Linked DNA regions of Mus musculus. The protein of the gene in region 2 interacts with the protein of the main gene of each other region in a pairwise test. Links are inferred from orthologs where the notes say so. Each region holds a gene or a part of one and is shown on either strand. Other genes may lie near its edges.

Region 1 (6,501 bases), on a different chromosome or scaffold from region 2:
CAAGCAAGCTTTTTCTTCTCTAGGAAAAAGTAAAATCAAATCTCAATGATGGAGAACAGAAAAGGTTATAAAAATTGTAGAAAGCTAAGCAAAACTACAGAGAGTAAAAGACAGAGTTTTACTAACAAGAAAAAAATGTTTTTAACAAAAGTCTTTATGAAAAAAAACTGACTTCAAAATATATATAAAGTGTTATTATAAGTTTGTAAACTCCCAGGCTGATACAGTGGACACACAGAAACTATAATTATCGTACTCTAGAAGTGGAGGCAGGAGGATTGGGAGTTCAAGGTCAACCTCAGCTACACAGTGAGTGTGAGGCCAGCTTCCATTACATTCCATCTGGTTTCACAAAACTAACAGCAAAATAAACACTTCAGAGTTAAAAAGAAATTTAAATGCATTTCTATTACTTAGAAAAGATAGGTCTCATTAAACTAACCTAAGTTTTAATAGTCTTTCTTACGTTTGATACAATTCTTTTTACTTGTGGTCTCCATCAATTGCTTTGGCCATTTGTTTCTTTCTCTGGTCCTTTTCCCTACCTTCTTTCATTGCCTTCCCACCTAATGTATAATGCAACCCCTGCCCCAATCTGTAGTTCCCAGTGAGGCAAGCCAACACAATTCCTGCTTGTGGGTTACCAATCCTGTTTGAACTTTACACTTTACTTTCTAAATCTCCTTCTGGCACAAGTCTTCTGCATTATTACAACAAAAAATCACAGAAAACTTAACATTGCCTTTGAAAAGATAAATGTAACATGACACCTAGTCTCTTATACTATCCAACTATGTCCTCTCCCCAGTAAATGGCAGCATTTCAGAGTCTCTCCGTGCTTGGCAACAGTGAGGCCCTGGATCCTGGTAAGTAGCAACAGCTGATTTAGTAGCCATGGATGGTCCTACATCTGAGCCCAAACTGAATAACAGAGGGTCTTGTTGACTCTCTGCCTCTGGACCTTCTCAGTAGGCACTGTTTGCTGTTTACTTATCTTGGAATTTTAAGCCTGAGACAATGTTGAACACAGTGTCAACTGGCCCTGGTGCCAGACAGGATCAGAGGCTCTGGAATATTTACAGTTTCCCTTCTTGTGTTTCTATAAATGAAATGGACAGCCTGAATGGAGAAAAATCAAGGCCCAGCTGGCTAAAACCACAACTGGCAGCCAAACACTTGGGTGGGTTCCAAGAGCTGGTGTTTAAAGAGAAGCCAATTTACAGAGCAAATTCCTACTGCTAGAGCAACGACGGGTACAGTAGCTCTAGCATGAAGCAGTAAAACCTTGTCTTGTTCAAACAATTTTCATCTCAAAGTTTGGAAGCTAACTCCTTTTTTACTTCAGAATTGTTCTTATGTTACCTATAAATCATTTTAAAATTGTTTATTCTTCACAGCCATAGCAGTGGCAAATTTGTGTCCTATGCTCTACAAATGTTAGATTATAGGAGACTGGACTAAGTCTTATTTTTGTTTAAGTTTATCCAGAAAACTGAACTGTTTCTAAAAGTTAACAAGGATCCACAAAGAAGTCCTAACAATGTAGAGGAAACAATAAGGTAGATATCTTAACCAATTTAAACTAATTTGGAGGTTCCTAATATATCATGAGGCCAACTACAAAAACTAAAATTGATGTTCTTTTATACATAAAATATAACCTCAGCTTTGGTAGTTAAAAATGAGAAAAAGCTCAATTGCCTCTCTTGGGGATGGCATGGTGGAATCACGATGAAATACTAGAACTTTAGTAAATGAATATTAATGATCCCTCCCCCACCCCACCCCCAGTACTACGTTCCCATAAAGACAACCATGGGCTGGCCATTATTTAACCCAGGATACCAAGTCAAAAATATCATATCCAGAGAAAAGCTGTACATATAGAACTATCACACACACACACACACACACACACACACACACACACGCACGCACGCACGCACACACACGCACACACACACACACACACACACACACACACACCAGGCTAGGAGCAATGGAGTTTGAAGATGGTTTAGCAAAGCTGCTTTCTTTCATACACACACGTGCTTGCATAAGTGACTGGGGGAAAGAGAAGGGATTCAGAGAAAGAAGCAAAGAGTCCCACAGGTAGGTGCTTATTCTCCGGAAACAGAAAAAGGCAGTAGCTAGAGGTCATTACCTCGATATAGGGCACGATCTTGCAGGAGAAATCTTCCAAAAGCCACTTCTTAGTCAACTCATGGAAGATGACCAGGGGGAGGCAGAAGAAGATGATGAGAAAGTCCCAGAAAGCCAGGTTGGCCAAGAGAGAATTGGAGATGCTCCTCATGTAGTAATTGTGACACACGATGCACATCACTGCCAAGTTGCCAATAATGCCGGTCCCAAAGATCACCACAGATAAGCACATGACCGCATAGGCTCCGTAGGATTCTTGGGTCAATGGGTAGAAGGGGTTCTTCAATCTCACGCGCCGCGTGGTGTTTCCACGGCGTGGACCCCCTTGGTCAGGAACCCAGTCATCTGCAGACCCGTTTTGCGGTAGTGCCCTGCCTGGAGGAGCAAGGGTCCTTCCTTCGTGTACTGCTGAAGGCCTGTGTTGGGAATCCTGGAGTTGTCCAGTTCTTCGTGGCCAGTAAAAAAGATCTCTGGGTTCCGTTTTCACACTGTGCTCCTGCCTGCTCTGGGGAATCCCATCGCGCTTGGAACTCATCTCTCCCCCCTCCGATGTCGGAAAGAAGAGTTGGGGATCCGTGGGGTCCCTTCTCCTCAAATGCCCGGATGGTTCTTTACCCTGGGCACTTTTCCATCTCCAGGCACTTGGTGGCTTGGTTGGAGGTCCCAAGGGCCCAGCAGCCGCCGCTTCTTCAATCACACCTGTGTCACCGCCCCTGGGTGGTGGGAGGTCCCAAGAGGTCGCCCCTCTCACCTCTGCTTCCAGTTTCTCTCTGGGCACATGGACTCGCAGAGCGTCTTTTGCCGAATTCCCAGGTCCACGGGCATCCCTGCTGCGGCGTTGGATCAGTGGGGAACAGCTCTCCCCCAGACAAGTTCCATTCCTGGGCTCAGGGACAAAGCTCAGGGCAGCAGAGACAGAAACCTTAAACAGCAGAAGGAGCAGCAGCCGCGATGTGCGCGAGAGAGGCGCGCCCCGGGCTGGCATGGCTCGGCGAGGGCGCACCTACTAGCCTGGCTCTAGCTTAGCACCGACACCTGCTGCCAAACTTGGTGCAGAGAGTTAGGCACATGTCACATACTCACCGCTGGGTAGAGGATGGGAGCAGAAGATTGCTGGGAGGGAACAGGGCGCTTGGGGAAGGACGGTGTCATCAACACATCCCTACAATCCTTCCACGTTTCATGTTCTGAGCATTTCCCAGCCAAATCTAATCCAAGCTCGGTGCACCCGAAGGTTCCCAGGGAAATAACAGATCCAAGAGGCTGACCTTGAAAAGTTGCGAACACCACCTGATTGTTCCCTAATGTTGCGACTGGGCGCAGCCTGGAGGAAGCCCCGCGCTCCTCCCAGCCTTTGGGTGGTGGCTGTCTTCTTGGTAACAGTTGCTCTGCTATTTACATCCTTTCCATACTGCTTTATCCAGTCGCTAGTAGAGGTCTCTAGAGAAAAAGAAAAACAAGTCCGCTCCACTAGGGGACTGGCTGTCACAATCCCACTCTCGGCTGGCGGGGGGGTGGGGGGTGGGGACCCTTGCAAACAAGGCACCACCGGAGCACAGAGGAAACTCTTGCTTCGTTTAACTCCGACGACTTTCAAAGGGACTGTTGCCAAGGAGAAGCCAGATTCGAAACCCGCGGCCACTGTCAAAGTTGCTGCTCCTTCAGTTCAAAGTTGACAAGTGGATGGCGCCAGCGGCTGCGCCTAGTGCACGGGCTGAGAAGGCGTGGAGTGGAGCGAGAGGGAGGAGAGGGCGCTGCTGTTTTGTGCACAGTGCTGTGGGCTGCAGGAGCTTGTCACTGCCACCACCATCGCAACCCGGGTGGAGAGCGTGGTGCCTGGAACCGCTGCTGGCGGGCGGAGCGGTGCATGGTGGACAGGGGAGGTGGCCCGGCCTCTCCCAGCGGCTCAGCCACTGCGCGGGCTTCACTCCAGGTCGCCTCCCTCTCGTCCTCCTTCTAGCAGAGCATCTGGTTTGTGGAGAGACGGGATCCCCTGGTGGTTTTACCACACACTAAACCCACACACGTTTCATTCAAGGCGTTCGCAGTAGCTTTCAATAGGAAGCTAGGAGCGACCCGGGAACAAGGGCGGAGGCGCCGAATCTGCACGGCTAAAGGCAAGGAGGACGTGAACTCCATGGGTTATTGCCCTAGATAGTCCAACCAACCCGACCTAATCTGTCACCACTAAGGAGGGGGTTGGATCTCAGGACCCCCGGTGCAGGCGGGGATCCCTGGAGGAGAAGGTAGAAAGGGCAAGCCTCTTGAGATCTGCAACAATTGGTAGCAACTGGTGCGCATGCTCAGGCTTCAGACTCCCCAGGGAATAGTGACACATTCACAGTCTTAGATTCCCCAGAGCAGAGTCAGAAAAGAAACAGACTTCATTGGTTTCATTCACTCGGTAAGAGAGTAGATTGTAAGGTAAGAAGGATCCAGGTGTCCCGTTACCTTTAACATTGACTTTGAAAGCATCCTACCAGGAGGTGGAGTTAGAGCTGATCACAGGGAGCAGGAGGAACGCAGCAACCTTGATATGTTCAGAACTGAGAACTGAGGAGGACCGAACTCCCATCACGATGCCCATGCCTTTCCAATTTTTATATACACACAACCCCGTGTAGCAATCTTGGTATAGCTGAGAAAACAGACAAATATCGGACCAAATTTTTAAAAGGGGAAGAAATAAACATGTGAGATAGAGACAAAGGCAACAACAGAAGAATTATCTAAGGGCACAATAGAAAATACAGTAAAAATACAATTGCAGTAAAGAGCCTCAAACTATCTACGTCCTAAGCACTGTCATTTGTGAATATGTGTTTACATAGCAAAAGGAACTCTACAGTGAGACTTACTTAAATATCTGGAGATGAAAAGAGTGTCACGGGTTATAAATTTGTGCACACACAAGGGACCCAAGAAGAAAAAGGTAGAGAGAGATGAGAGGGTAGTAGACTATGAAAATCTTTATAATTTTTTTTCTTGTGTTGAGGTTCAAATGGGCAGATGCACAGACACCAGACATAACAACAAAACTGACAAGGGTCAAAAAAAACAAAAAACTATTTTGGAAAAAGTTAGACAAAAATTAAAATACGGGATTTCACCAAAGGTTAAGTGTCAAATGACATGTCACAGGGAGGTAGTGTTCAGCACCAGCTTGTTGGATGACTGAAAATGGAAACAGATAAAATTACTCTTCTTTTAAAGTAGAAAAAATGAAAAGAGAAGAAAATCCCATTTGCAACGGTATTTGTCAATACCTCAAAATACTGCAGATTTATATCCTGTGCGTTCAAAACATAAGATCAAGAATAACCCTTGTGAAGCCCTTGTGTCTTACAAGGAATCTTTGAACTTATTTCTAAGAGCAAGAGCAACCAGAATCACATGGAAATAATGTAAAGGACATCAAAGTTAGGAATAAAAATTCCCACTCTGGTGTATGTAAACAGTACAAACTAGTTGTATGTATGTCATGTCAACCAGACAGATCCTGAAAGCACAAATGTAAAAATAAACAGTGGGTTCATTATACTGCACTGCCATTTGAGCTGTGTCGATATATGGATAGAAAGGACACATGCTATTTGGATTAGTAGTCTATTCAAAAGTTGGTGAATGGAAATGTTATGTGAAGAATCTTCTATTGTAATCAAATTTTGTTATCATATATAATTGTATTATGTAGTTATATATTATATATTTATATATTATATGTACTTAATTATATATAATAATTTTAATTAATTATTTTCTTTCTTAAAAAAAATCCAAAACAAGAGCTAGGTTAACTATGGAACAGAAAAACAAGACACCAAAATAAAGTCTGTGATGCTGTTTTCTCTTTCAAAGTACCTTAAAGACTGGGCTATATATGTAAACAATTTTCTACTCTTCCTACTCTGGATCACTTAAATGAGCCACTAATTTTAATGGTACTCAGCAAGGAAAAGAGGCTGAACTATAGGGGAAAAATCCCTTTAAGTCCTTCTTAGAAGCCCCAGTTGGCATCTTTAAGGTGGCAGAACACAGCTCCCAAGTAGACAGCTTATGCTTATGTAGATTGTGAAAACACTGAAGGGCTGCCTATGTGTATCTGAATGCTGCCTTCATTTTCCTAAGTATCCCCTCCTCCACCTGAATAATGATGCCTTCCTGTTTGGATGGATAGCATGCCCTAACTCCTTAAGTTTCACAGTGACCATGAAACACACACACACACACACAGGAACTCTTTGAGCCAGGCAGAATATCAGTTATTTAGCTTTCAGAAAAATATAATTTTTCTTCTGAAATACAAGGATACAAAAGGCTGCTTTCAGATCCGCTCAC
Region 2 (6,473 bases):
TGGGTAATGTGTTCTAAATGAGTAAGTAAATTACCCAAAGTTCCGGCCAGTGGTGGCCCACGCCTTTAATCCCAGCACTTGGGAGGCAGAGGCAGTCGGATTTCTGAGTTCGAGGCCAGCCTGGTCTACAGAGTGAATTCCAGGACAGCTGGGGCTCCACAGAGAAACCCTGCCTCCCCCCCAAAAATGGCCCAAAGTTCACTGACAAACTCACATTTGTCTGATATTTAGCTATGTAACAGCACTTACGGTAGCAATAGAATTTGATTCTCACTCATCACAATGAAAATGGCTGGCGCTCTCTCTCTCCCTCTCTCCCCATTTCAAATCTGCAAGCACACCCCCTTAGAGATGGAGAGAATTTGATCCCATTGGAGAATCGAGCTAAAAATACCACCATGGAATTGTGGGAAGGATTAAATGCAATAATGCACAAAAGGCACATAGCAGAATGTGCCCTAAATGTCAGCCATTGTTATGGTATTATGTAATCTACAAAGTATGTTTGCTTACTCCGTGTGAAAGACTTTCAGTCTATCAAACATAATACATGTGAAATCAAACCTTGAAAATTAATTTTTTCCCAACAGTCAAGACATTTGCCAGCTGCAGAGATTAGCATTTCATGAAATCTTAGTCTTGTTCTGAATTTTTTTAATGGGAAGGAACAACTATCCTCAACTATCCTTTTTTTTCTGTAGTTTTAAAATGAACTCCACAAAACATGTTTTTAATATAGGGAATTATATGAAATTGTGGGGTGGGCAGCGAGGTTAAAGGCAGAAATAGCCCAATGGTGGCACATTCACTGACACAGCCTAAAAGATTAGCAAATTACCCAGCCAACACATACAATTAATACAATTAATATTTTTATAGTTAAAACAGAGTTACTAAAGAAATTGTTTGAAAAGAAAATTATGAAGACTGGAAAGACGGCTCAGTGCTTAAGAGCTTTGGCTAGTCTTCCAGAGAACCAGGGTTCAATTCCCAGCACTCACAAAGGCAGCTTGTGAGCTGATACTATCTGTATATTCAGTCCTAGGGAATCTGATGCTTTGTCCTGACCTCCAAAACAGGCACAAATGTGGTGCACAGACAAATGTAGAGATAAGACTCCCATGCACAGAACATAAATAATGTAGTTTAATTTTTTAAATTGTAAAACTGAAAATGGTTGCACTTGCATTTTTATTTTCAGCACATCCCCAGATATCCGCCATATAACAAGAAAATGATGCCACACTCCCAAGAATTAAGAATTACACCTTCCCAACCCTACCCAAATGTGTATACTTCTAGGTCTAAAGAAATGCGAAGGATGAAGTTACTGCCTTGGTGCGGTTCTCAAGGAGGGAGGATGCCAAAAAAATATTTTTTCACAAAGTGTGCTGAGAAACTCTGTAGCTGTTGGAGTCATCTCCTGTGCTCTTGCCAAATAACTGAAAGGGGATACACTGGATGTCTGTGAATGGGGTGTCACTTATGAGTGCTAGAAGCGGGTGGTACCTGGATGTGGACACCGGTGTCTGAGTGGTCCGCACTCCATGTCTCCACAGGAGCGCTTATGTGTGTTTCTTTCCTCCTGCTTCTGGGTGTTCCTGGGTTTGTTTACAGCCACCTCTCTGTTGGACCAGGAGACAGCTGTCATCTCCAGAATGAGCGGGCGCGGGTGTGTCTCCGTGGCTGTGGCTGTGGTTCGGCATAAGTCTGAGCATGTCCTGGTCGTCAGGGTGCGTTTGTGCCTGTGTGTGCGTGTCCGGGTGAGCTTGCTCTTTCTGTTCCTAAAAGAAAACGCACCCTGCGCTACTGGCGTCCAGAGACCTCTCAGCCCGCACAGGTGACCTGAACGGACAGGTAGCACCTCCAGACAGCGCCTGGTTGGCGGGTTGCACAGCAGCCCTAGATTTCTCTCTCTGGTGCCCCAGCTAGGGTAGCTGGAAGGGAGCGGTGGCCTGGCCTCCGGGGAGCCGCTGGGCCCCGCCCGGGCTAACCCCAGGAGGAGGCGGGCTAGGCTGGGAGGGTTGGCCCTTGGTGCCTCGCCCCTCCGGGCATCCGGCCGTGCCATTGGCCCAAAGTTGTTGCACGTCACTGGGCAATTCCCCTAAAGTCTGGTGCACATAACGGGCAGGGCGCACTGCAAGGCTGCTTCTCAGGCATTCAGGCTGCGGCTGCAGGCACCGCGAGCCCGGAGCACCCACGAGCTGAGTGTGCAGGACGCACCCCAGCACAGCCACCTACGGCCGCTGAATGAAGCTTCCAGGAGTCCGCCCCCGGCCGGCTGCGCCCCGTCGGAGGTGCACCCGCTGAGAGCGCCTGGGCACCGAAAGCCGGTGCGCTCACCTGCTAACCTGCCAGCCATGGGGCCACACGGGAACGACAGCGACTTCTTGCTGGCACCCAACGGAAGCCGAGCGCCAGACCACGACGTCACTCAGGAACGGGACGAAGCGTGGGTTGTGGGCATGGCCATCCTCATGTCGGTTATCGTCCTGGCCATCGTGTTTGGCAACGTGCTGGTCATCACAGCCATTGCCAAGTTCGAGCGACTACAAACCGTCACCAACTACTTCATAATCTCCTTGGCGTGTGCTGATCTAGTCATGGGCCTAGCGGTGGTGCCGTTTGGGGCCAGTCACATCCTTATGAAAATGTGGAATTTTGGCAACTTCTGGTGCGAGTTCTGGACTTCCATTGATGTGTTGTGCGTCACAGCCAGCATCGAGACCCTGTGCGTGATTGCAGTGGATCGCTATGTTGCTATCACATCGCCCTTCAAGTACCAGAGCCTGCTGACCAAGAATAAGGCCCGAGTGGTCATCCTGATGGTATGGATTGTATCTGGCCTTACCTCCTTTTTGCCTATCCAGATGCACTGGTACCGTGCCACCCACAAGAAAGCTATCGATTGTTACACCGAGGAGACTTGCTGTGACTTCTTCACGAACCAGGCCTACGCCATCGCGTCCTCGATTGTGTCTTTCTACGTGCCCCTGGTGGTGATGGTCTTTGTCTATTCCCGGGTCTTCCAGGTGGCCAAAAGGCAGCTGCAGAAGATAGACAAATCTGAAGGAAGATTCCACGCCCAAAACCTCAGCCAGGTGGAGCAGGATGGGCGGAGCGGCCACGGACTCCGAAGGTCCTCCAAGTTCTGCTTGAAAGAGCACAAAGCCCTCAAGACTTTAGGCATCATCATGGGCACATTCACCCTCTGCTGGCTGCCCTTCTTCATTGTCAATATCGTGCACGTTATCAGGGACAACCTCATCCCTAAGGAAGTTTACATCCTCCTTAACTGGTTGGGCTACGTCAACTCTGCCTTCAATCCTCTTATCTACTGTCGGAGTCCAGATTTCAGGATTGCCTTTCAAGAGCTTCTGTGCCTTCGCAGGTCTTCTTCGAAAACCTATGGGAACGGCTACTCTAGCAATAGCAACGGCAGAACGGACTACACAGGGGAGCCAAACACTTGTCAGCTGGGGCAGGAGAGAGAACAGGAACTGCTGTGTGAGGATCCCCCAGGCATGGAAGGCTTTGTGAACTGTCAAGGTACTGTGCCTAGCCTTAGCGTTGACTCCCAAGGAAGGAACTGTAGTACAAATGACTCGCCACTGTAATACAGGCTTTCTACTCTCTAAGACCCCTCCTTGACAGGACACTAACCAGACTATTTAACTTGAGTGTAATAACTTTAGAATAAAATTGTATAGAGATTTGCAGAAGGGGAGGCACATCCTTCTGCCTTTTTTTAAATTTTATTTTATTTTTTAAGCTGCAAACAAGAGAGAGAAACTGTATTTGAGTGCTTATTGTTTTCTTGTATAGTTCAGTTCCTCTTTGTATGGAACTTAAAGGTTTCTGTCTGAAGAGTGTTGGTTCTGGAGGACTGAGTCTGTCTGTCTGTCTGTCTGGATGATGTTTTCATGTATCTACCTCACTGGTCAAGTATTAAGAATGATATATATTGCTGCTGGAAATCCATATCTAAAGGAGAGAGTTTTCTTCCTGTACCCTTGGACTTGAAATATCCTGTGTCTTGGACCTTTCTGCTGTGACAATGGGCCCTTTCTCTCTCACTCCACTTATTTACTCAAATGGAGTGTTGCAGGCAGGGATTTGAGGGACAACATCAGTTGTTTTGTTTTTGTTTTTGTTTTTGTTTTTTTGTTTGTTTGGTTCGTTTTTGGTTTGTTGTTGTTTTTTGGGGTTTTGTTTTTGTTTTTGTTTTTTTGGGTTTTTTTTTTTTTTTTGCTGAGAAAAGTCTAAAGTTTACAGTAAATAAATTGTTTAACCATGACTTCATTGCACCCGTTTCTTCAAAACCTCTTGACTCTGGAGTGTCCTTGTCTCTCCCACTGGAAACCACAGGTAAACTATGTGTCGTGACCGATGAGTGGCTTAATGTGTAAGAGTACCAGAATGGCATGCACCGTGCCTAGCCCTTCCGTGTGTGTCTTCGGAGCTCCAGATGCAAACCTGTGCCTTCCCTAACTTCACTCGTGTCCCAAAGCAGTCCTGCCTGTTCACAGCATAACCCAGTATGTCCTACAGTTGCTCTTCTGTGCTGTCACTCCAGAAACCCTGACTCACGGAAACAGAGTTATGGGCATATGTTTTTGTCCCCATATGCTCCTGACACCCACCTTCCAGCCTTACTTGCTTAATAACTGTGTATATTTACATCACTGCCGTCTCTTACAGTAGTGCCCTTTGTACTGCATCAGGGCTTGGTGTGTTCAGGATGAGGAAGATGTTCTGTGTAATAGCTGTTCAAGCATCTAGAAATTCTGAGGGAAATCAAAGGCCTCGGTCAGAGAGAGAGAGAGAGCAAAGCTTTAAAAAACATAGCTGGTGAATGCTTCACGCCCTTCAGCCTCTCCTCGCTCCCGTCTGCTGTCCCGTGTCTTCTGTTCCCCAATTCTCTGCACTTCTGTGTAAACCAGGCTTCCCCATGTCTGGCATTCCCGTGCATTATATGATATTTGGCGGCAGCTCTGTACCCAGTAAATTCTGGTAGCACCCCCCCTCAAGTTTACAAATAATTGCCAAGAACAACTTCAGCCGCGTAGCACCCCCCCTCAAGTTTACAAATAATTGCCAAGAACAACTTCAGCCGCGACCTCTTACCCCTAAGGGTAAAGTACTGCTTAGTAGAAAGCCTGCTGTAGACTTTGCAAACCTAAATCATTACTACAAAGGTTCTATTTTTGACACCTAGGAGAGGGGTTTTTCCCAGTTTACTCAGTTGTGACAGCCCCTCAGCCCCTCCTCTTTCTTCTTCCTCATGGTGCCTTCTAAACTTGCCTTCCAGCTGCCCAGGTAGTTACCAGAAGAAGTTGAGGTTTTAGGCTCATGCACGGAGTCATTTGGGAGGGTTTATCAGTAGAGGTGAGGCCCGCAGGGCTCTTACTGCCTGTGTGCAGAGAGATTATAATACTGTTAAGAGGCACAGAGGGAAATCACAAAAGTAAACACATTTCTTCTTGCAGCCCCTTTCTATTTTTGCCTGTGTGTCTGAGCCAGAGCTCGGCCCAGGTTTCACGGAGCGGATCGTCCTCCTTGGCAACACTGGGCTGGAAAGGGTCAGCCTTCATCATTTCTTTCACTCGGAAAGCTGACTCCCCTTCTATGTCCCCTACTGTCCGAGGTCCCCAACACCAGCCTCCTCTGCTTCTCGAAAGCTCAGTAGTGGTGATCACTGATCTCTCAGAGGGAGGCAAAGACCATGCTTTGCAAAGTGCAATGTATGCTCTTCTGTGCTCTCACGTCTTGGTCAAGGTTTTCGTGTCGTAGTCTCCTCCTGCTCTGGGACTCACGTCCCGAGGTACAGCAAGCTTCTCCAGATGTCCTTCAAATCCCCCATACCCTTACAAGTTCTTGGATTTGGAGAGTCCATAATCTGAAGAGTCTGAAAGCCTGATACTGGAAAGGACCTGCACAAGGTAAGTGATGAAAGATGCCAGAGCAGGGGGTCAGGCAGCAGCCCAATCACCTGCCAGGAACTGCTATTGATGGCATCACCACTGACCTCTGCCTTCATCGGACCTGTGGAGCCTTTCCTTGCAGTTGAACCGTACTTCACTCATTAGGGCAGGGCTTTTGGTTTTGGGGGGGGGGGCTTTTTTGTTTTTGTTTTGGTTTGGTTTTTGTTTTGTTTGTATCTGTAATACAAAAATCAGGGACTAGATAAATACTCTGCAAAATGAACAAAAATAAGAATTGTTTGCTTTATTACAAAGAATCTACTCAGTTATTCCTTGCTTTAGAGAAGTTGGAAGATCCCCTAATTCTTTTATGACCAGCATGTCACTTCAGTTAGAATTATATGTATGTATGTATGTATATATATATAACCTGCTTGTCATTATTTGTTAATTAAGTGGCCAAGACATACTTTTAGTAAGTAAGTCAATATTATGCATATACTCTTGGCTAAAGGAATTCCTAATGTAACTTGTTAAAATTTCAGCTAT
Region 3 (6,517 bases), on a different chromosome or scaffold from region 2:
CTTACCCACAGGGTCCACTTTGTCCAGGTGATCTACAAAGTCGCGCTTGCCCAAGTACACGGTGAGCTGAGGAGGTCAAGGGTCACAGGGGAAATTGGGGAGGATGGTGGCAAGCCACCAGAGTTCTCAAAGGTGGGTGTCCTGTTCTGGGCTCCCCTTGGGTGGGTTATCAGGAAGGATTGTCTCCCAGTATGACTGGAAGGTGAGATTGGTAGAGTTTTCCAGACAACTTAGTAAAACTTTCGTTTAAGCTTTTACCTGCTTTCCACACCTCTGCCCACCCACGGAGGGTCGGTACACATAAGTGTGTGTTTATGTGTGTTTCTATGTCTTCAGGGAACACTCAGCCAGACCAGGCAGGTAGCAGCTGTCCCCACAAAGGGCTCTGAGATAAACAGCCCACAGCCTGGGAAACTATTAACTATTCCTAGCTCAGGCACCCTGGGTTGGTTTCTAAGAGAGTTACAAGCTTGCTTAGGAACCCAGACCCCACCCAGCCCTGTGGCTTCTTCAGACTGCGGCAAGGGGCTTAAGGAGGGAAGGAAGTCAGTCTGCTTTTAGCTGTCACAGGAAGTGGGGAGCAAAGGCTTGGGGATCATCGAGGGCTTTGATCGGGCCCAGGGAGGATCAAAGGGTAAGCATCGAGGGGGACTCACCTTGCAGTTAGGGCTCGACTTCTTGAAGACCCTAACAAAACAGAAAGGAAGACCCCACTGCCTCCCTTAGGCTGGGCAAGGACCACCACACCAGGACTTATCCCTCCCCAGCCTGAGAAGGGAATTCAGCCTGGATCCCTGCCCTACCCTTCCCACTGCTTTTTTATAAAGTCCCAGTATTTCCCACATGGCAGCCCCTCGAAGCCAACTGTCAGGGCGAGCGAGCCTTTGCTCCTTTGCTGTTCGATGCTACATAACTCACTCCTCCTCTTACAATAATGGCCACTAGCTACCCCAGGAACTACCCAGGCTCTCCTCCCCAGGGGACCCTCTCCAAAACTGAGAGCGAACTGGATGGATACACACTGTCTGGGTCACACCTAACACCCCTCCCCACCCCCCTTTTTTGACCTTGGCCTTCGTATGTAACTCTGGCTAGCGTGGATCTTGACATATAGACCAGGCTGGCCCCAACTCAGATCCATTTGTCCCTGCCTCCTTGGTGCGAGGATGAAAGGCACAAACCATCACACTCAGATAATCTTTTCAACTGACCTCTAGCTTCAGGGACCCATACAGTGACTCCCGGAGCAGAGCCTAGTCTCTGCCCCTCAGATGGTTTTTGCCCAAGTCTGACTATTTCGTGAACCTCCAACAGCCTCGCAGCTTAAAAAAAAATCCACTGTGGTCCCAACACAGCAGCATCCTATGGCAAAGATGGTGATGCGGCTAACATGGTACAGGGGGGCTGCTCTGTTCCAACTGCATCTATTGCTCTTATAGCCCAATGGCTGAGACTGAAACATCCCTGTTTTACATCGAACAAGAATTCTGTCAAAGGTCACAGAGAATGTACAGGGTGGGACTCGGATATAAACTTAAGGAAGGTACCTTGGCTTCAAGACCCTGTTCTCAACCACTACATAGTGGCGGCGCTTGCCTGTCACAGTTTGTCAAGTCAAAGGGGATTTTTTTACACGGGTACTGCAACAACCTAAGCCTAGACTCCACCCGCTGCTGGGAGCATTAGTAGGAAACTGTCTAGTGACCCCAGGGCTCTGGCTACTCGGTGGCTTATTCTTCCAAGTGTCATTCTGCCCCCTGTGAGGCATGCTGCCCCAGGGGCAATTCCTGGGAAAGGACCCCAGGTAACACACTGAATAATGCCCCGTGTTCCATCCTCCCTTCAAGCACCATGTAAATGTCTGCTCAGAAAACCACTTGTCTCTTCCTCCCCAAAAGCCAAGCTGTCCATACATCACAGGGTCATACTTAGGGTCATATGGCATATACATAGGGCGCCCCTACGTATCCCCAAGTAATAAGGCACATTGGGACATGGTGGCAGTTAGAACAATCACTCTAATTTCTGTCCCAATTAGGGCTGACAGCTCAGACATCACCTAGGCTGGCTAGCTCTTCTACCTCTGGTTTCTTCCTGCCCTGTATTTTCCCCCAATGGGAGCCCTGACAGAGCCTGTGACAGCCATAACCAGTGTGTCTCAGGCAATTGCCCTGGGGTAACTACAGAGCATCTGCTCTCTACATCTTCCCCAGCCACCTCTTGCCTGGTTAGGGAGCGGGCAGTGGGCACATACTGAGGCTGGCCAAGGAGGCAGAGTAAGGGAATGACCAGGGAGGTACCCAGCTTGGGGGGGGGGGTGCAGCTAAAGCAGATGCCTCTTAGCACTTCCTGCCATTCTCTCCATTTCCTGTGGCCCAGAATTTGATGAGATGGTAGGGAATTATGCCAAGTCAGCAGTCTTTCTCTGGACCATCTACCCCCTCCCTGAAGTACACAACGGAAATTTGGGGGCCTCCCCCCAAGTAAGTGACTTCCCCTTTCTCTGGGGTGTTTAACCTCAAATCCAGGAGGTCAGTCTTCCCTGTGGACATCTCTCTCAGATATTGGTCTTCTTAATGCTGAGATGCCTACTTTCTCATACTCTAAGGGCAGTGGGAGTGGTGGGGTTGATCCCATGTTTTGCAGAAGTCACTGCTCATAATCAGGCCCTTATTCTTGGTCCTCTCCGGCTTGAGGCACATAGCCCCTACCTATTCTTTAGCTCTTGCTCCTTTGGAACTCAAGCATTCACCCCATGTCCTCTTGGGGGTGTTGGGTCACAACAGGAAGTGGATTTTGCTATAGACCAAAAAAGAGAACTCTGGTATCAGTGGAAGGAAGGAGCTTCGATTGCACAGAGAACATCCGGGGAGAGGATGTGTGTCCAGGGGAGATACTACCTCTCCCCTCCACCCCCAGGAGAGGAATACAGTCCAATTTCAGCGAGGGTCCCTACACACTCTTCTCTCTCAAGAAGAAGCTGTTGCTCCTAGCAACCTAGAAGGCAGAAGTTTGGTAGCAGAGCTATCGGGCCCTTGGGACAGGTGGGAGCAATCAGACTGTGGGGTATTGGGCAGGAGGCTTTCCATTGGTTGGGCACGAGTCTAGGGGAATCCCTTCCCAGCATCCAGTCTCCCAGCACACAACCCCTCGGGGCCGGCCACCTGCTCCTCCTTCCTCCGCCCTTGCATCACAGCCTGCACAGAGAACCCAGTAGTCCGACTCCTACATCTCTGCGAGAACCCAGGCGTGGGTTTCCCGATCCCCATCAGGTCTTGCTTTTTGCAGGAGCCCTAGCACGCACGCTCCACTCCAATATCTCAAGGACCAAGGCTTGCGGCCCCGGACCGCTACCCTCTAGGGACCCAGGCGTCCGGCCCCGGGGTTTCTTCCCCGGTGTCCTTGTCTGTGGATCAACCTGGCACACCCCACGAGCAGCCGCCCATGCCCCGCGGCACGGCCCCACCTCCCTTACCTGGTCCCGGGTTTTTCTCCCATGGTGCGCGCGCGCTCGCCGCCCTCCGCCCGCCGGGTTCGCGGCTCGCTCGCAGCCTCCTCGCCTGCTGCCAGGTCCCCGCTCCTCCCCGCGCCACTGCGCACGCGCGTCCTCACTCTTTCTCCTCCTTCCCCTCCCCTCGCGGTCTGGGTCTCGGGGAGCCGGGGCCAGCTGCGTCAGCCGGATCCCGCGCGCCGCGGCGCAGCCCGCCCTCCTCGAGCTGGCTCCGCCCCACGCCTCCGCCCTCCGTTTCCCTCGGGGAAGCCTCCCCGCGCCGTCCCTACTCCCGATCTCCCCGCCCCTCCTCAAGCTTTTAGAACTAGATTGGGCCCCTTTAAAAGCAGGCGGCCGCCTTCGAGGAGATTAGAAGCAGCTGATTGGCCGTTGGTATCCGTAGCCCTGCAGGGATACCTCCCCTTTGTTTGCTTTCACTGTAGTGGAGGAGGGACGGGATCGAGGGGGCGGTGGGAATGAGCTCAAGTGCTGTCTAGTTCTGAGGGCCAAGGGCTGCCCACGTGGATGCACCGTATCAGTTGCGTGATGATGCTTGCTTTGGGACGCGCTGCTCATCCCTGAGCTTGCAGCCTCGTTTGGCCTGCCTTTCCCGCGTTCTTGTGGTCTTCAGCTCCCCCTGGTGTATCGTCTTTGATTTTTTTTTTTTTTTTTTTTTTTTTTTTTTTTTTTGTGCAGGGTCAAACATTAAAACATTTTTCAGACCTTGTCATCTCGACTGTCTATCCTAGCTATCATTCACCCACTCCATCCATCTCTTATTTTCTTCATCCTTCCCTCCCTCTCCATTTCGTGTTAGTCATTGTGCCAAGCCATCGGGACCAAACATGAATTATCATGGCCTAACTTTCCTGGGATCTTTGAGACATAGGAACAGGTATTATATTATGCTCCCAGGAATGCTATAATAGAGGTATGACTCAGAACATCAAGCAACTAAAAGCCCAAAAGCCTTTGCTTGGCCAGCGTGGGGGAGGAGGGAGTGCAGTCACTCACTCCATTGGATGGGAAATTTGAGGACAGACATTCTGAAGGATGGGCAGAAGTGGGGAAAGGACATTCTTTATAGACGAGTGCTTGTGGGTTAGATGGCAGGAGGCAGAGAGCTGCAGACTGTGGAAGGAAGAGACTGCGGAAGGCTTTGTATAGCAGGTGAAAGAAAGAGCCTGAGGATCTGTAGTGTTTATCTAATTTAATGTAATGTAATTTTCTGCTAAGGCCTCACGCATGCTTGGTAAGGACTCACCACTAAGCTCTGTCTTTAATCGCAGCCCAGCAATGATTTGATTGGATTTTGTTTTTCACCAGAGGAATGTCGAGATGGGATTTCTCTTTTCCGGTAACACAGAGCATAGCAAGACCGCTAGAAGATAAGCTAGTCAAGGGAAAACGATGAACAGGGAGTGGAGGGGGAACAGAGGGGCCATATTAGAGGTTCGTTGCTGGGGCAACATTGACTGGGTTTGGCAGAGGGTGAAAAGGGTGACTGACAGAGACAGGTTTTTCTCCTCTTCGGTCTCTTCCTTCTACTCTTACCCATTTCCCCTCAGTGGAATACCTTCATGCCTCTCTCTCCACTTTTCTCCATTTGAAAAACAATGTACACGAGAAAAAAAAATCTCAGATCATCTTTAATTTTTAAACATAGACCTTGTTTAACACCTGCTTACCCCTCCCCCGTTCTATTGTCACATTTTAAGTCTGCTCTTTCATTGTTACAATGTGTTACACTTTATGTGTCTGAGTGCTAGCCTGCATGTAAGCATGGTCATCACCATTTGTGTGCACAGTGCCTATGGAGGTATCAGATCCCCTGGAACTAGAGTTACAGGCAGTTATAAACCTCCACGTGGGTGCTAGAAAGTGAACCCAGATCCTCTGTGAGAACAAAAAGTGCTCTTAACCACTGAGCCATCTCTTCAGCCCCAATATGATTCTTTGAGACAAGGTCTCACTCTATAGCCCTGGGTGGCCTGGAACTCACAGGGGTCCCCCTGCCTCTGCCTCCTGAAGCAACACAGTCAGCTTAAATGTACTCGAGTTCTTAACAGTAAGCTTTTTGACTCATGAATTTATTCAGATTTGACCCTTGCTAAAGATCATGTTCAGAGGTAAGGCAGTCTATAGCTAAAGTGGAATTTGGGGGCAAGGGTCGTAGTTTAGTTGTCAGGGTGCTCGCCTAGCAATCATAAAACCCTTGTGGGAAGCTAGAGAGATGGCTCAGTGATTAAGAGCACTGAATACTCTTCCAGAGGAGCCGGATTCAATTCCTAGTACCCACAGCTCACAGCTGTCTGTAACTCCAACATCTGACACCCTCACCCAGACACACACGCAGGGGAAACACCAGTGCACATAAAATTAAAAATAAAAACAAAAACCTCATATTGGATCTCTGGCAAAACTGGGTGTGGTGGTGAGTGGGGGATCAAAAAGCCAAGGTCATACTCAGCCACATATCAAGTTTGAATTAGTTTGGGCTAATTGAGACTTTGTCTCAAACACACACACACACCAACAAAATATAATCAACAACAATATCAATAAAATAATGAGCTTTTGTCTACAGCAAGGAGAAAGACAATGGTCAGTACAGCATGAAATCTGTATAGCTTAGTGGGTAAATGCACTTAATGTCAACTCTAATGACCTGCTTGCGTTCAATCCCCAGGATTTACACGGTGGAAGGAGAGACCCAATCCCTATTCCCCACCCCCACCCTCACACACAAGTTGGTCTCTGACAGCCACACAGCCACACAAATGCCATGGCTTGAAGGCCCCTGTTACACAAACACACAATTAATACAAGTGCTACTTAAAAAATAAAGTTCAGGGAATGATGCCATCCATGGTGGAAGAGTCTTCACACCTCAATCAACCTAATACAACTATTCTTGCATAGGCAGACAATAGAAGATATGATTGTAGATCACTTCTCAGATGAGTAGATCTCATCAAATTGACAACTGAGATTAACCACCATATTGTTGTTGTTGTTGACTGTCCT

The links.
Region 1: the proteins of Adrb2 (region 2) and Gpr37 interact in a protein complementation assay, tested with the Homo sapiens proteins (2 studies listed by BioGRID and IntAct, with this or other methods). The link is inferred for Mus musculus from reciprocal best matches to the Homo sapiens genes ADRB2 and GPR37.
Region 3: the proteins of Adrb2 (region 2) and Arrb2 interact in binary tests that used the Homo sapiens proteins (3 or more experiments, as listed by UniProt). The link is inferred for Mus musculus from reciprocal best matches to the Homo sapiens genes ADRB2 and ARRB2.

Annotation. Positions count from the first base shown.
Region 1 is NC_000072.6:25,685,949-25,692,449, forward strand, and holds the start of Gpr37 (prosaposin receptor GPR37 precursor), read right to left. Parts: upstream 4,033-6,501; 5' UTR 3,149-4,032; coding exon 2,165-3,148; intron 1-2,164.
Region 2 is NC_000084.6:62,175,640-62,182,112, reverse strand, and holds Adrb2 (beta-2 adrenergic receptor), read left to right. Parts: upstream 1-2,131; 5' UTR 2,132-2,360; coding exon 2,361-3,617; 3' UTR 3,618-4,400; downstream 4,401-6,473. Other genes in the region: Gm9949 (uncharacterized protein LOC225609), read right to left, coding at 1,510-2,068. UniProt on the Homo sapiens protein: Beta-adrenergic receptors mediate the catecholamine-induced activation of adenylate cyclase through the action of G proteins. The beta-2-adrenergic receptor binds epinephrine with an approximately 30-fold greater affinity than it does norepinephrine.
Region 3 is NC_000077.6:70,429,712-70,436,228, reverse strand, and holds the start of Arrb2 (beta-arrestin-2), read right to left. Parts: upstream 3,650-6,517; 5' UTR 3,499-3,649; coding exon 3,476-3,498; intron 688-3,475; coding exon 657-687; intron 67-656; coding exon 6-66; intron 1-5. UniProt on the Homo sapiens protein: Functions in regulating agonist-mediated G-protein coupled receptor (GPCR) signaling by mediating both receptor desensitization and resensitization processes.